Linked DNA regions of Drosophila melanogaster. The protein of the gene in region 1 interacts with the protein of each later gene in a pairwise test. Each region holds a gene or a part of one and is shown on either strand. Other genes may lie near its edges. The genes, in order: Sf3a2 and dar1.

Evidence for each region.
Region 2: the proteins of Sf3a2 (region 1) and dar1 interact in a two-hybrid assay, tested with the Drosophila melanogaster proteins (one large-scale study listed by BioGRID).

Annotation. Positions count from the first base shown.
Region 1 is NT_037436.4:12,809,367-12,817,444, reverse strand, and holds Sf3a2 (splicing factor 3a subunit 2), read left to right. Parts: upstream 1-3,425; 5' UTR 3,426-3,537; coding exon 3,538-4,332; 3' UTR 4,333-4,417; downstream 4,418-8,078. Other genes in the region: CG42588 (uncharacterized protein), read right to left, coding at 1-1,246, 2,565-2,913; CG32110 (uncharacterized protein), read right to left, coding at 7,441-8,078; Sap130 (Sin3A-associated protein 130), read right to left, coding at 4,616-4,765, 4,829-4,936, 4,995-5,165, 5,225-5,495, 5,559-5,797, 5,857-6,717, 6,782-7,239.
Region 2 is NT_037436.4:3,621,178-3,631,016, forward strand, and holds the start of dar1 (dendritic arbor reduction 1), read left to right. Parts: upstream 1-5,174; 5' UTR 5,175-5,904; coding exon 5,905-5,967; intron 5,968-9,839. UniProt on the Drosophila melanogaster protein: Transcriptional regulator which promotes dendrite growth by suppressing, either directly or indirectly, the expression of the microtubule-severing protein spas.

The DNA.
Region 1 (8,078 bases):
GACTCGGTAGTCGGATCAGGAGTTGAGGGAATATATACAGGAAAATCAATTGGGTTAGCAACTGCCATAACTCCTTCCGTTTCTAAATTGGAAACTAATTCTAGTTCCACGGAATTAGAAGTGGCCTGATTTGGTTCAGACGAATAACGATTTCCAGGTGTTGTAGGCACTGATGTGGGAAAGTCTATTGCCTTGTCTTCAGTAGACTCATTCGATTCAATAATTGTTTGTTTTGTTGATTCTACAGGTAATGGATTTGAACGAATACTTGAGCCAGCTGAAAAGTCTGTTGCTTTATTTGGCTTTGGATTATACAAAGGAGCAATATTTCCTTTCAGAGTTGGTGATGAAAAGGGCGACGTTCGTTTTGGTTGAAGTATTGTGTTAATAGTGAAATGAGTATCCATTGTGGAAATAACATCCTTTGAATTAAGTGTTTTCATAGCTTGAGGTTGTTTCACCTGATCCGCCTGATTACGAATCTCTTTGGCCATCTCGGCCAGTTTTTCCCGTGAAACCTTAAACTTATTGGCGTTCATAATAACCTTGCCCTTGATCACTTTAGATTGGATATTTGGTGTTGCAGCGCTATCCGGAGAATTTGTAGCTTCCACCGGAGCATTGGGCAGCCGAAGCCCACTCAAATCGATTTTCTCGTTGGGTGCCAACACCTTATGCTCCAGCACAATTAGCGGCGGTGTTGGACTCCTATGAAGTTGTGTGGGAACCGTAGGAGCTGCTCGAGCTATAGGAACCTCTGGAGGTGGATATGGTTGGCTAAAAACATTCGTAGTTTGCTGTACTGGAATCCTCTGTGGACTTGGGGAAACTTGATGCACTGTCCCGTGCGGGTTCACTAAGGGACTGTCACTCGATACGCACATGGCTCGATGTTTGGGCAGCTGATTTACCAAATTGAGCAAAAGTGGCGGCTGCTTTTGTCGGACAGTCAAGTCCGCCTTGGCAATGGACATGGAAGAGGCTGCCGGAGCTGGGGAAATCCCGCCACTGCGAGGAGCTGTTTCGTGGCAAACAGGTGGTGGCATCTTAGGCGCTGCTTTGGAAGTTGTGGGCTTCTGCTGAGCCTGCGTGTTCGTGATTAAGCTCTTGTTTAGTATTCTGTTCTTTAATAGCGCCTTCACTTGTTTGGAACGGTCACCATCCGTTGGATTTGGAGTCGGCTGGATGGGCACTATCTTCTCGATGTGTTCCGAGATCATAAAACGCTTTACTAGAGGCTGAGGTGCTAAAAATTATAAAAGTGAAACATAATTAATAAAGGAAACTATAAGCAGAAGAACTTAGGAGCAAAGTTAAAGGAGCACAGTTTTAAAGCGAAATAAGCCATCTTATACATAAAAGATGCAATTCATTGTTAAAGCAAACATTAAATAAAACCATATAGAGCATGTATTAGCAAAAACAATCGCACACACAAACGGCAGTTTGACCGCAATGGGATTTGAACCCGGGCCAAAAAGGGAATTATGTTGCCTCGCATCGACGCTTCGTCCCTAACCTCATTTTGAGCGCGCACTTGACGATTGAACCACCGAAAGAGTACGAATTGTTGTGGCACGAGTGGGTCTTGAATCTAGTTTGCCAGACGAGTAGTCAAAAAAAATATTTACCCTTTCAAGGGTATCATATTTATGAATTAAGCTCATTATCCCTATTTTACAATTAAGTGTAAAATTTTATTTGCTTTTGACCAATTAAATTTTCATAATTTATGGCTTTACGTAGTTAGTACTCTATCACACAACAACAAAAATTAAATGATTATTGATTAAACTCATTATTCAATTGTTAAAATTTAAAAAAAAGTTTTCGTTAAAAACTTTTTGTGTTACATTTAACAACAACGACAAAAATATTGAAGTGTTCTAGTATTAGCAGTATATTTCATCTCATTTCAAAGAAAAGTACCAACTAATCTAAATGTCCCGAATTAATTTTTTTTTGGTTTTTTAAATTTATTTATTAAAAGAATATTAAAATATACATAAAATATCCTTGTAAAACATGTGATTCTCTTGGCTTATTAAAATATCGATCGTTTTAAATAATTAAATACCAAATTATGTTATTCAATATAAATTTTATTGGCAGTATGTTTTGGAAATAATAACGTCCTGTTTGACAAGTGAACATATTGTAGATGTTCAGATACAGATACAGATGGTTAGCCATCCTAATATTTCTAACCTATAGACCTGAATTTTTAACAAAAATAGACTTTTTTAAACTAAAAAAAATTATTTTAGGTTGCCATTCGAAATACGTAAAAAATAAAATATATCGAGATACACGAAAAGAAAGTGAAGGCGCCGCACTCACTGCGAGACGAACTCAGAACAATTAATACAAAAACTAACTCTTTGACAATCTGTCGGCGTCTCAATCAGTTGCACCATCGTTTTGGTTTTCGGTACTGTGCCCAAAACTCGTAGAAGCATTTAGACGATTTTCGTATCACTTGGTACAAAACCCCTGGGTTTGTAACGGTTTTTTGGGCGATGCACAGCTTAAAGCAAATATATATATATACAAGTATGCATTACCAGGCTGACGCAATTGTTGTTGTGGCGACTGCAATTTGCTCTCTGGCGCAGTTGGCGTCGACTGCGCTGCGGCAGAGGTGGAAAGACTGGTGGACGATGGGGCGTCCACCCTCTTGGCATCCAGCTTCTGCTTCCTAAGCACCTCGGCCAGCTGCCTATCGAGTCCAGCCTCCTTGAGCTTGTTGAAATCCAGCTGAATCTTCTTAATTATTCGCTTGGGCGGAGCTGCAGCAGTTTTGGTGGCGTGTGGAGGAGGGGCGCTGGTGGGATTACCGGGCTTCGGTTGATTAGAAGTGGTGGTCATTGGCGCCGGTGGACCCATGATGACCTGTTTGCTGGAGTTGTCCATTTCGCGGTTACTTTAAAAATCGCATAAGACACTGGCACTGTTTATTCCACGAAAATGACGACAGAAATCGAAATTCTTAAACACTCGTTGCTTCGATTTTTCTCAAGTCCGACGTAATCCACGCAGTGACATTTAAATAAAACACGCTTTTCGAGGCCTAGTACTTGTCACCAACACTAGTTTACTTTAGTTTAGATCGCTGTCTAGACATTTTTCACTTTTTAAATTCTAAAAAAGATCAAGCATGTGCAGCTCGAATTAATAGTGTGACCGCTTTGAAAAAGTAAAATATTCTCAAAGCTTCGGAACGAAAATATACCAAAATATTATATGTAATTCTTTAAAAAAACATCGCAAAAGGAATATATAAGTTATTTTATGTATATTACAGTTTGCAAAAATTTGACTATCATTAAGAATTTTAATGGATTTATGAAACATTCTATTATTTATTTAATACTTTAATCCTGCACACGAACTATCGATTGACTCTGATAAACTACCACCCCTAACCGAATTGGCGTTTCTTGACAACCCTGTTCTGTACAACAAATTTTCATGAAATTTTACCAACGCAAAACGTTTTTCCTTCGTGCGGTTGAAAACTAAAATAAAGTTTACAAAATGGACTTCCAAAACCGCGCCGGCGGCAAGACCGGCAGCGGAGGCGTAGCCTCCTGGTCGGAGACGAACCGCGACCGCAAGGAGCGACTGCGTCAACTGGCCCTGGAGACAATCGATCTGAACAAGGATCCGTACTTCATGAAGAACCATCTGGGCTCCTACGAGTGCAAACTCTGCCTGACGCTGCACAACAACGAGGGCAGCTATTTGGCCCACACGCAGGGCAAGAAGCATCAGGATAATCTGGCAAGAAGAGCCGCCAAGGAGGCAAAGGAGGCACCCTCTTCGCTGCTGGCGCCCGAGAAGCCCCGCGTGGAACCGAAGAAGTTCGTCAAGATTGGACGACCCGGCTACCGGGTGACCAAGCAGCGTGAACTCAGCAACGGCCAGCAGTCGTTGCTCTTTCAGGTGGACTACCCGGAAATCACGGAGTCCATTGTTCCGCGTCACCGCTTCATGTCCGCCTACGAGCAAAAGATCGAGCCGCCAGACCGCAAGTGGCAGTACCTTCTCTTTGCCGCCGAGCCGTACGAGACCATAGGGTTCAAGGTGCCGTCCCGCGAAGTGGAGAAGAGTGAGGGCAAGTTCTGGACGCACTGGAACCGTGACACCAAGCAGTTCTTCCTTCAGTTCGCCTTCAAGTTCGAACCTAAGATCCTGCCGCCACCGCCGCCGAATCTACATAGGGCACTAGGCCCCCCAGGCGGATTCCCCATGCCGGGACCGCCACGTCCTGCTATGCATCCCATGTTCAATGGCGTTCATCCACCGCCACCCATGCTTTCAAACAACTAATTCATCGACAATGTTTACGGGATTTCTCCAAACGCAAGCCGATTACCACAGAAATATTCAAATAATAAACAATTTTCTACTTAATACAACTCGAGGGTTTTTGTATTTGTGTTTCTAGCTTAATAAATTGAAAAAATATTGCTGGTTTTCTTTGTAGCTGTACGACTTACAAATCGATCGCGTTTAAGGTAATTATCTTGGATTCTATAATTTCTGCTTAAATTAGGTAATGTACAACTTATTAATACACACTTGGCTGGCCATCTCCGTTCGTCAATTACTTTTAGATCTTTTCGCGCTTCTTGAAATTCCTTTTCGAAGCGCAGCGGGTGATTATATTAGAAACGTGTGGCTTATGCTCGAAGATCTTCATTAACTGATTCTGTGCCTCGTTGATGCCATCGGTAATAATCTTGCTGCGTTGAATGTTTCCCTGCAAAGTAAATTGGTTTTATGTTGAGATTCAAGCATAATGGATATAAGTATAAGAGCGCACCTTTAGCAGTTCAGTGACTCGCTCAATTTCGCTGTGCTTCTCCTTGTCCTTTTCGAGATCCTGCAGCATGGTCTCCAGCCTGCCCAGACTAAAGACTTCCGATTCATTCTGTAAGAAATCAGTTCAGTCAAAGTAGCCTACCAATACTTTCGTGCCCATTGCTTACCAAGTCCTCCATTTGCGAGCGTAAATGATAAATTTTCCATCCATTGATTTTGCCCTGCACATTTGGCTGATTGGCCAGATCAATGACTGTGGCCCGCCGCTCCTCCCTTGGCTTAACATCAGTGTACCGATGAAAATGATTGTTGGCCAACTTATGTGTGGGCTTATACGTCTGTAGATCAACGGAATCATTTGTTAACTACCACAAAATGAACTGAACCTTCAACTTACATTGAGCAAAGCACAATTGCGCGGACGACGAATCACAAAGTCGACGGGATTTGCGTTCTCCTTGTTGCCCGCCACAGCAGGTGTACTGTTCCGGTGGTTGGCATCGCCTGGCGCACTGTTGGGAGCAACACCCGGGGTCGCTGCTGTCACCAGTAGTCCTCCATTGTTGTGCTTCTGCATGTACGAAGCGCCAGCCGGCGGCGTTGGCTCCGAACTTGGAGGTGGCAGCGATAAGGATGCTTGACTCTGCGTAGAGTGCTGGCTGTCATTGCTGGCAAATACATTATCAGATTATCAACATGCATCATTTGATACAACCACTCAAATAACTCACGTCGATCGTCGCGGCTTTTTCCTAGAGGAGCAGTCATAACTGGAGCTGGAGCTATTACCAGTACCATTCATACGCGTTCCTTGTTGCATCTGCGTCGATCCCACCAAATGAGGCACCTGCTGAGGCTGCTGTTGCTGCGGCGTTGGTGCTTGCACATCCACAAAGGCACTGCTACCACTGCGGGCTCCCAGTGAGGAGTGACCAAGGTTCTGCTGAATCGATTGGTGTGATGAGTACATCTTTTGAAGAACAAATATTAAAGCCATACTTAAGCATATATTGATTGTTGTGTACACACCTCATTAATGGGATTAAAATGCGTGGAATTATCGCGCCCACCAGCGCCTCCCGTGGCTGGCTGATCGCCAATCCTGTCCTGTAATTGCTGATCCACACCAGGTGAGGAATTCGCCGACACTGTAGTTGAGCCGTCCGACGAAGCCGGCGAGTCCGCCCTCGAATTTCTCGTTGAGTTCACGGGGCCAACTGTGGCAGGCACACTAGCGGCGCTACTTGCTACACCATGGGTGACTCGCTCCCGTTCCTTCTTGGCCAGCGCCTCTACGGTCAGCCCAGAGCCAACTGATTGAGGCACTGTCACGGACACCGGCTGAATGTTGAACGTGGTGCCCGGAGCCGGTGGCATGTTTTGTCCACTGTTATTGCTAGCCATTGAAAGCAAAGTGGGTCCTAGATTTTTAGCCGCCCGTATTGGCGAACCTTCCGCATCCCGCTTGCGCATAAAGCTGGACACCAGTGCTCCACTTGCAGTTGCTTGTTGCGGATTGCCCGCTCCCGTGGTCACCTTAACGGACGTATGCAGCGGAATAACCATGTGCTGCGGCGGCGCACTATTTGGTCCTGCTGGTATTATCAATTGCTGGTGGCCAATGGTTCGGGTGGCTGTTCCACCAGCCCCCGACGGCAACACCGTAAAAGTAGCCTGCGATCCGCCGCCACCTGATCCCGCTCCGGCAGTCGCGTGACTTGCAAAGGGTAACGAAGATACCGACAAGCTGCCACCGGCGCTGCTAACCAATTGTGCCTGCGCCTGGGTGCTCTGCGTCACTGTTGTCGTAGTCAATGATAGAACGCCTGTGGAGGCGGAGGCTGGCATAGATTCGTAGTAGATTGTGGCAGCACTTCCCTTCTCATCGATCTGTATAACGATTTAGTTTTAATAGTTAATTGAAGCATCATATATGTAGATAGTTGAAACCTACCTTCATCAACTGGCTCTGTGAAGCAACTACAGGATTCCAGGTGCGTTGAAAGCCCGTCACTGTTGCCCCGCTTGTGCTGGAACCATCTGCTCCAGGGGCAGAAGAAGCTGGTGCCATCATCATCTTGCCCAAAGTGATGCCGCTTGCGTTCTTGATGGGCGTCAGAGTTCCCGTGAGGATATTACCGCCTGGTCCCACTCCCGCTCCCCTGCCACTGATGGTAAGTGGCAGGACAGTGGCTCCACCGGCCGCCGATGTGGCACCCGTCACCGAGCTTGAATTGACCACACTGGCAGAGACATTCGGCACTGGCACCGCCTGGATGCTGGCCACGCCCTGCGGCCCCATTGTTTGTCCTCCACTTCCTCCGCCAGCTGACAGTTTTCCGATGGGATTAAGCTGTGTAATAGTTAGCGATGGCTGAACCTTAGCGGTCATGGTGACAGGTGGACGAATGCCTGTCGATTGATGGTTTCAAAGATATATTATTATTATTTCATTTAATTGTGGTAGGGTTTATTCCTATCATATTCCACTTACAAAAGAACAAGTCACGAAATAATTCTTAAATTTTCAAACACTATTTTATTTTTGTTCTTATTGTATAGTTCTCAGCTCAGTTCAATCCATAAAAAAGTAAACTCTATATAGGAGAACACCTACTTCCACAGCTGGTCGCCGGTCAACTCCAGAACCATCTTAGTGCGAAAATATTTCATGTCTTTCTTGGAAAACGTTATTGGAGCATCCCGGGTTAGGTATTCTGCAAACATGCAGACGAACACGCCGCAATCGTTCATGTTGTCTTGTTGCGGCACATTTTGGGCATCCTCGATGCGAAATTCACTGGTGTCCAAACACAGCCCGAGCTTGTCCTCCGACTCCATTTGAAGGTACTTCACTAGTGCTCGCATCAGATTCGGGTCACCGCGGCCTCTTGAATTGTAGTAGAGCATTGTTTTCGCAGGCAAATCGATTATGACCAGGCACCAGTGAACGAGCATTTGGTGAACAGGCACAAGTATGAGGTCCATGCTAAACAGATCCACCTTTCTAGTCCAGCGTTTTACGCCATCGAAGCCACTTTGCAGCAGGCGGGGCACAAAGAAAGTGCTCATGGCATACACGCTGGGCACTGTACCAGGACGCTTCTCCGATCGCTCGACCAGTAGGTTCATGTAAAAGTTGATTATTTTGTCGTTGAGCCAGCCGCCACTGGTCAGGATTTTGATATCACTGCCGCAGATGTCCAAATTGAACTTGGCCACAATTACCTGCTGCAGTGGATACTTAGATA
Region 2 (9,839 bases), 9.2 Mb from region 1:
AGATTTTGCATGGTTTTCTCCAGATATCAATTCTTATCAAAATCAAACGAAATTAGTTTAGAGCGAATTGGCGCTAATCAAAACCTCTCGGCTTTTGCTCTAGAGCTGGTAAACTTTTCCAATTGGTCATAAAAATCGGCAGAAAATGGTTTGACGAAGAGCATCGTAAACGAAAACAAATAGATAAGACATTTTATAAGCACTTCTCAACAAACGAATAGTAAGCAAATAGAAAACGCAGGCCCTTATATGGAAATTTGGCCAGAATTTGGGTTCACCAAACAAGTTTCATAATTTGCATGTCACATTCGAAGAAAAGTTCTCGGCATTGATAAACTTTTCCGATTCGCCATAAAAATCGATAGAAAATCCTATGGAAATTTTCGGCTTTCTGTGTCAGTGCCGAATATCGAATATCGCATAATGTCTGAAGTCTGGCCTATGTCTGCAATGTCTGACGTGTGCTGGTGGGTTTCTGGGCTTGGCCAGATTATGGTTACTTTTATGATTTAATTTCACACGAATTTATATTATTTCGGTGCAATTGTTTTGTGCGTCGTCGCATTTATGGTGTATCAGTGGTTTATGGTCTATGGCTTTTGGCTTTTGGCCAAGGCCAAGGAGAGATTTCACAATCCGAAAGCCAAAAACCGAGGGACTTGTTAGCCCAATTAATAATTATTATTGGCCGGAGTTAGAGAAGATGATGAAGTCTTTGGTGTGGGAGGCCTTGGCTTTCTCTGCGCCTGCCCACAGCCGAGATTTAATTAATTGCCGCGTAAAATTAATTTCATTTCAATTGTGCAGTCGCATCATTAGCAGTTCGCACCCCCTCCCGAAAATAGTTGGGACCCCGAAACCTGCTGAGTAAGCAATGATATCGTTTGTAAGTTTTGTAAGTTACCCCCATACCATCGACATCTCCGATCCCCAGCTACTCTCAAGGGCCATATCGTTTCTACTTCGCTTCGAGTGGGCTTGAAAGGTGATTAACGCGATCATAGAAATGATGTCGGAGGAGTACCGCACTGGGGGCTCATCTTTCCAACACCTGAAGTGGTACAGGGAAACGGGAATTTAATGAAGCACTCCACTGGGAGAAAATATCACCCGAAATGCTAATCACTTAATTCAATTTAACATCAGCTTATTGAAATGAAAGTCCTTCAGAACTTTTGTGACTAAAGGCTGTATAAGCAAATATGAAGTAGTATATTAACAGATAAAACACTACGACAATTGAAAGCGAGCGAACCAATAGGTAATATACTCTCCAAATAATGGACGTTATTACTAACAATAACAATAAAAATGCTTCGAGACCTATAATGTCAATTTTATTAGGCAGCAAAGGATGAATCTTTAAGATAGTACGGGGAGGTTATTAGGATATAAACGATAAAAGAGAATAAAATTTGTGACAAGCATTGTTCATTTGTTTATTTTCGATAATATAATAATATAATGAATCTTTTTCTTTACAGGTTTAAAATGATTTCCGATTGATATAGTTTTTTCTCGCTGTGTCGTAGATCGTTAGATGCTTAGATCATGACTCTTTCTTTCTGCGCTTGCGCACGCGCTAAATGTCAAAAAAGTGCCCATGAAGCTCGGGAAGAATCAGCCGCCTGCTGTTCGCCGCCGCAGCTCCGCTTTCCGCCATGCCACGCCCCCCGCCCTCACCTGAAAGTGACACGCCCTCAGGCGGGCCGCCCACTTGGAACATGTCGAATCATTCATTCAACGCAACGAAATGTGGGCTGCGAGGTGTTGAAAGGCGAGAGGCGAAAACCGAAATACAAAATCCGAAATCTAAAAGGCATTTTGTGTGCATTTGTAATTTGTGGAGCTGCACACAGCATTGCGCTGTCATTATTTTCTGTAACATTTAGCAAAATCATTAATAATTGTTGCCGCCGCTGCAGCGACACAGATACGCACTTAAAAATTGTCAGACAACAGTGACTATGCCTTGGTGTTAACTTGATTAGCATTCGTATAAATTCGCATTCGCAGTTGCATCTTGGCCGCATTTGCATAGAATGCACATTTCGGGGACCCAATTATTCGGGGTAACTAAAAGTCTTCTGATCTTGATCGCCTGAGCTGTTAGATGGAATTCGAGGTGGCCCCAATTCCAATTCCCCTGGCTGAGATTTCAATTACCCTCGCATATTATGCAAACAAATAAATTCGAGCGATAAGGTTAAGCCGAAGAAATTATGAAAATATTTCCCAGAAAATGCGCAGACAAAACAAATTGCCGCGTAATCTCTGGGACCCTTGCTCTTGGAAGAAATAACAACTCCAGGTTGACAATGCACGGCCCGAATAAATCGAAATCATTTGGGAACTTGTCCTTCTTTATCGGCAAGTGCCGCCAAGTGGAATCAATCAAGCGGAGAACCATTTCCTTGGAGGCTCTCAGATCGTGTTTTTCATATTATTTCGATTCCGATTTCGAAGCGTGACAATATTTTGGCCACAATTCAAACGAACTGATCTCGAGGGTCTTCGGTGGGCAATTAATCATGTCGAGCTGGCCGATAAGTTCTGCTCGGTCGAGTGCAGTGAATTTCTGGGGGGAGAGTCCTCGAATCTCCAGTCTCATAACAGGTAGTACCCATCGACATCGATCTTTGTGTGAGGTAAGAGCTGAAACAGGGGCTTCCATAAATCCCGCAGATATCGCTGGCGGGAAAATCAATTACTCTACAAGGATGTGCGCCTCCAATTTGAATATTTATGGTTAACTGATCGGATCTCGACATAAAAGCGCCAAAATTGATACATTACAGGCTTTTTTTTTACGGGGATTTCGGTAAAAACGTGAGTAAAGAGGATATAAATATGTCATTTATAAAGAGAAGTAAATAGAGTTTAAAATGATTACAGAAGGATCTAAGGATGGTATATACTCATAGACAAGTCATTATTAAACAAAATTTAGTTTTTTGTGCATAAAAATCGAAAAAATTGTCCAAATTTGGAAAGTTATACCTCGTTGTGCTCAGATCTTTATCCTTTACAAACACAAAACAACTGCCATTAAAATGTGTAAAAAAAATTTTTTTGACCATTTTCGAAAATTTTGATGATGGTACCCCTTACAAAAAAGTCGAAAAATGGGTAAATTTTTTTTTTTTCAAAAACTCTTAAAAAGTGATTTGGGTTTTCTTCTTAGGTTGTCGGGTGTAAAAAACAGTGCTTCTTATAGCGATGTGTCTTATTTTGACTTAGTTATAACATAATAACTGAAAAACACGCATTTTCGTTGTACCCTTCAATTAATAATTTAATTTACAGTGCCATAGATATTCTAAAGCCCCTTAATCATAATATGCATATTTAAATCCCCAGAGCGCGCATATCTTCGTACTCAACCGCTTCATTCTAGGCCAAAAGCGTTATAAATTGGCTGGCATTTGTCAACCGGCGAACGGAGTCAAGTACGGGCTTGGAAATGTGTCTTTGGCATATCTCACGGATGCCAAACGTAAGACAAGCAGCTCGAGAGCAAACAAAAGCGCGAAGACAAACAAATTCGAATGTATCTGAGTATCTCGGCTTGTATCTGCAGACGTCTGCGGTGGCATTAATGGCAAATTTGCACGAAGTCAATAGCGAAAGCCGGGGAATACTACAGTCAATTATCGGTGGCGTCGAATATGGACGAATGTATCTGCGAGTGTAGATACTTTCGTATCTGACCATGTATGTTGATGTTTTTGTTTTTCCACCTGCGTGTAGCGTTGTTGTTGTTTTTTCCACTTACTGCCACCGTGTACGCAAAAGTGTCTCGCTCTCTCTTTCTAACCGCATGCCCCGTCCCGCTCACTCGTTGTATCTTGTATCTCGTGTTTCTCGCTCTTTTTGTCGACCGCCGATTGGCTGACTTTTGAGTCTGCGCCGCTATCCGGAGAGGCCACACCTCTAAAAACCCCCTTAGAAAACCACGTTTGCGTGTTATTTCAGATACTTTTGGCCCCCCTGCACCAACCATTTTACCCCCCCGCGCGCGGAAAACATAAACTTGTGGCTCCCTAATGGCCAAAAATAAGGAAACCAGGGGGATGAGTCGAAATGAAAATGGCTTTTATGTGTGGCGTGCGTTGGGGTAATTTTATGATTCAGGGAATTACACAGGGAAATGACAGTCCTCGTTCTTCTTTTGCTTTCCACCTGGAATATGTAGATACAGATACCTTTTAATTGTCGCTCTATTGATTTCCCCCAAAGAAAGCACATAAGCTGACTTAATTTATGCTTTAATTCTATTTAATTATGTTTTTTTTTTACCATCTAAAACTGCATGAGGTCTATGAAAGATTCGCGTGTTAGCTGGACAGTTTTTATTTTGTTTAGGCTCTATCTAAAATGTGTCAAACTTAATGAACGGTGTAGTAAAGCGGTTTTAATGGGGGAGGTTCTGTTCGGGGATTATGCTTTGTATGTTTTTGATTTATTACTCCTTAAAGGCTACCAATTTTATACCTTAAGTTATAAAACTTATAAAAAAAGAACGAGGTCCTTAAAAAACACTCTGTCGTATAAAAGTTCTTTACGGAAATCAATTAAATCAAATCGAAGCCATATATGTAGATTTTATTTATATAAACATTTAATTGTAAAGTTTTGTAAATTTAAATGATATTCTAATTGATCGGATTATAATAAAATTATTACTCTAAAATTAATAATTTTTATTTATTTGTTACTGAATACTCCATAAGGGACTTATAAACTTTAATTTCTAACCTCCTTGCCCTATTTCGAGATCTTTTCTGAAGCGTGGTTACTTACTTTTTCACCCATTACCACCTCTACCGCAGGTCAAATCTAAAATGGCGAATCCCAGGCGGTTCATTCAATTAAAATCGATCGCAGCTCTTATACTCCAGTGTCTCCAATAAGATCAGCTGGCTGGAACACACCTGAGAGTCGGATATAAGAGCGACAGATCACCTGGGCCGAAAGTGGCGGAGAGCGGACCAGGTGAGCGGAACACCTGGTGAGCAGAGTATCCGACAGATACAGATACGAAAGGTGAGCGAGAGCGGCACAGAGCGGGCAGTGGAGGGTTAAGCGGCGGGGGTTAAGCGGCAGCTAGCTGACTGGCTTTCTGACTTTCGAGGCTCGTCTGCGCGAAACCCGCGCTCGTCCAATCAGTACGAACTCGGTTCCCGCCAGCGCAGTAACAACTTCGCCGACGAGCGCGTGAATCGCCTAAATATCCACTCAAGCAACACAGAAAATAAGTTATAAATTGAAACCCGCAAGTGCCTTACCATTATCTGTAGAATATTGCAACGAATTTACTGCCCATATATACAGCATATCGAGAGGAACAAGAGATACAGATACAAATAAGATACAAGCCGAAGCTCATCATCGAATGCGGAAGTGAGCGAAAGCCGCCGGCTTTTATTAATTTTGTGCAATTAACGCAAAGGATACAAAAAATCAGTGTGCAAACAAAGGGAAACAAAAGAGTGAGAGAAAGTGATCGAGTGCCTTCATTTGCATATCCTTGCAAATTAAATTAATTTAACAACAAATAACAAAAAGCAATTGAATAATAAGAAAACGTGCCGCAATGTCTGTTGCTCGCAGTGCCATGTCAAGCTGAAGTATTCAATAATAATCCCGAAATTCGATTCCGAATACGATTTTGAATTCGCATCCGAAATTGATTAATCACTGTGCCTTGAACTGATCGTGACTCGTGAGTCAGAGCAGCGCCATTTAATTGTCCGCAAACACAAAAGTACGGAGCCCAGTTGCAAATTGTCGGGTTAAATATTGGTAGAATATCGGTAGAATCGGTGGCATCCCCTCCCCCGCCAGGCATTCCACCTGGCCAACAGTCGAGTGAAGGAGCTTCATGCGAAAAACGCCGCTTAAATGCATACGGATATCATAATTGGTGATCAGTTTGCCGCCAACAATAACTACTGGGTGATGCAGGTGAGTTCGGTTACTAGAATATTTAATTAAAGGCTACTTAAGACATTCTGGAAATTCCAGCGAAAAGATCTAGAAAACTTGATCTTTTGTAATAAATAAAATCCAAATAGCAGATAGATATTTTCTATCAAATAAAAGGCAGTGTCGAAATTTCAAATATCAATCACTTAAATAAAATTCCCTAGCTTGATCAACATTCAAATGGAAATATATCCAACTATTATAGAAAGAATATGTGTGTCTTTAAACAAGGATGAACACATCACAAAGCGTTTAAATATCGTAATCATTAGCCAATTAATTTGCAATCACAGGTTCCTTGTCAAACCCAATTCAAATGAAACAAAAAAAACTTTACGTACCAAAGTGCGCTAATTAAGCCGCTTTTATTGCAAATTAATTTTAGCCAAATTTGACAACAATAAGCGAGCACACAACAAATACGAGAGCTTACAAATCACATGAAAAACACCTTAAGCCCAACAACTTCCGCTTATCAAAATGCAAATCTTGAACAGACCAGATTTTTGACGATTTTTGTACGAATTCGAGTACGAGTATAAATAAAACGCACGCGGCAATCACAAATTACAATAAAACCGAAAACAAATTAGCTCAATTATCGATTGAGATGAGGAGTTGGACTGCGTAATTTTTGAGTGTTCTCGAGTGTGTTTCGACAGAGATTAACACCTTGGATTTCCTCAGGTGTTCCTTCGGTTCCTTCGCCGTTTTTTCCCCATTTTTGTTTTTTTTTGTTTGTCAAATGCGACAATCGATTTGTAAATCTTGTTATCACCTGCAGGAACTCTCGGCTCTTAAAGCCGTTCTCAAATACACGGTCGGTTAACTCTTTTGAACTCATCCACACTTTTCACGCGTTCCGCAGGGAAACTGTGGCGATCACAGTCCATCCGATGCGATCCGATCCGCACTCCTCCTTTCGATATCCATGTTTGCAGCCTGTTTTTCTGTTTTCCCGGCTTGTTTGCCTCAATTGTTTGACTCGCGCTTACTTGCGAAGCTCTGGGTAAATATTTGCCCCCAACACTTTGCCAATGTGCCAAGTGTCCCCAACTGACTGACGAGATGGTTTCAACACGGTTCCTACCCGGGAATATATACATATAGCTATAGCCTGATCATCGACTGGGTGGCATTGATCGATGGTATTGGATAGTATGAGAACATAATTACAAACGGCAAGGGTACATACGTATGAGTAATATGTCTTTCCGAGGAACTGTTTATCCTGTTTATTGCTGAATGTCAATAAATACTTTAGAGTGAAACTGATCGCACAGATTGTGGTTATTAAAGTTATCGAGTATAGGTTAAGTTTTTAGGCCATACTCATTTACCATGAATTAATTTTTCAAAGTATACGTACTTTTTTATTACCAATAATCTTGAGCCTTGATTATCTTTCTTATAAATTTTATGATGTGTAGGCTATCTTCCTAAATTTTCCTATCATTCCCTGTCTTATTGCCTTATCTCAACATTTTACAACCGTTGGTCTACCAGCCTTACGCCCATTGATAAGTTCAGTTTCCCGCAGAAAGTCTAGCCTTGCTCAACAAAAGCTCTGTGTTAAGTGCCTCCAGCTGCCCTCCTCAGAACACTTCCTTCCCCCAGAGATAAGGATCGAACTCCGGGAACCTCAGCGAAACAGATATACATACATAGGTACAGACGAAGAAACCCGAGACATTGGCGATTCCGGGTAAAAAGGCATCGTAAAAGAGCTGGGTGTTCGACAAGTGTGTTGTGCTTGTTCCGCCTGTCACCATCAATAGCTGCACTAATTAGGCATGTGTTGTCAAATATTTACACACAGTCGCAAAAGTACAAAGCGCTGTTGGCCCCCTTTGGCCCCCTGGAAGCCCCATCCACTTCCTCCAGATAGTGTAAGCTTTTGGGTGAGGGGGTGGACTTCTTCCGTTTTCCACTGATTTAACAGATATGATGAGATATGGTAAGGTAATTCCCACGACTCACGGCGATTATGACGAAAAACTTTCGTATTTTATGGCTCTAAACGAAATTAGTTTACGATCGCTTACAGGGAATTAGCTGCACTGAGTATAGAAGTATCCAAGTATCCGAGTATCTGCGTATCGAATACATTCAGTGAATAATGGAAGTAATCCAGCACGTAGCCAGGCGGTTATAGCGCCGACTTTTGCGGCTCTGATTAATGACCCTGAACCATTGTGCTTCAATCGTAAATAATTAAATATAGATAAAAATCAGATAACTCTAAGTTTGAGCTTTTGAAAAAAAAAAGGGGGGGGGGGGGTGTTTAAACTAAACGGGCCGAAGAATTATGCAAATTATTTAAGACTAAACGAAACTTGCAGTCGCTCCAGTGATTTGTCAATAAAAGACATTTACAAATATACCAAATGAAACGTATATGAGTTTATAGCCTATCTGAATCAATAGGAAATATTTGCATTTGCGAATCGGAATCAGACAAAGGCGGCCGCCTTCAAAGAATCAAAATCGGTGCTGAAATTTAACAAGAATTACGGCAATTGCCTTGCCGTCTGCTCATCTGAGCCATAAAAAATCGTGGCAAATTAGATAGAAAACAGCCGAATAATGGCCCGATAAGATAATGATATCCCTAGTAGACTTTCCATTTCGAAATGAGTTCAAGATTGGATCGAGCCCCCGAACAAAACACCGATTGCCAATTACACACCGTCCAGACAATGGCAGTTAAATAATAACTGGAGTAAGCCATGAAAACAGTTGGCCAAAATCTCATTAAGGCCCAGTGGGAGATCGCCCATCAATCGATCGATTCCTATGCAAATCTCGCCAGTAATTTCTGTTTCCACCATAACAATGCCAAGTTTTTAGTGTCTAGTCTTTGCCATATTTTGATTTCGCCAATTCATGCAAATGAAAACGAAAACTAGCACACAAATGCGCCAAAAATGGCACAAAAAAGTCGGGAAAAAAATATCATTCATTTGCAGCCAGTTTTGATTGATTTGCCGCCTGGCCAAGTTGGAGGTCAATCGTGCCGCGAGAATCAATCACTCACAAGCCACTGGGTGCACATAGAATTTGCGGTTTTCTGGATAGCCTATTATTGAGAATTAAGGAATTATAGTTGAAAGAAGAACTGTATTATCCTTTAGCAGTATTAAGCCACCATCTTTAATTTCTTCGCATACCCCTTGTGCTGAGCTTTAAAAACCAATGTCTGAAATCATAATATCGACTATCCATCAATTTGGATTTTTTAAAAGCTTTTCAATAGAATCCTCACTATTGATTTAACCCAATCCAAGCTCTTGTTCCCTTCTTTCTTACCCAATGTTTATGGCACGTGAGTGAGCATTTATTGACCAAAGGCAACCCTTTTGACCGGCTAATTTCAACATTTTTTTTCGACTCAGAAAAAGTATCACCTTAAATCTTTGATAGATTGCCGGGCCTAAGGCCCAAAAAAAAAAGGAGAAACATGTTTGACTTCGGCGAATTATTGCGAAAACTAGTTTGCCCAAAAATAAGAAAAAAGGCTTTTATGCTCACAGAGGTGCTAAAACCCCCACAACATTGAAGCGCAATTCGTTTCAGGTTTGATGGGATCAAAAGCTCAGCGGATGACAGCGAATGAAATGAAATAAATTTCATTTAAAGCTCCGATGCCGCATTAAGATCAATTATTTGATTATGAAACAAAATCTGCGTGAAATCTTCGAATAGTTGACCCAAGCCGATGTCAAATGCCGGCGCTGTAAATTTCAATTTCGCATCGAATTCATTTCCACAACAAGGTGAGAAAAAAAAAACACATTTGATCGGGGTGCGATGATAAAGCCATCATCGGATGGTCTCCATCGCTCGATCAG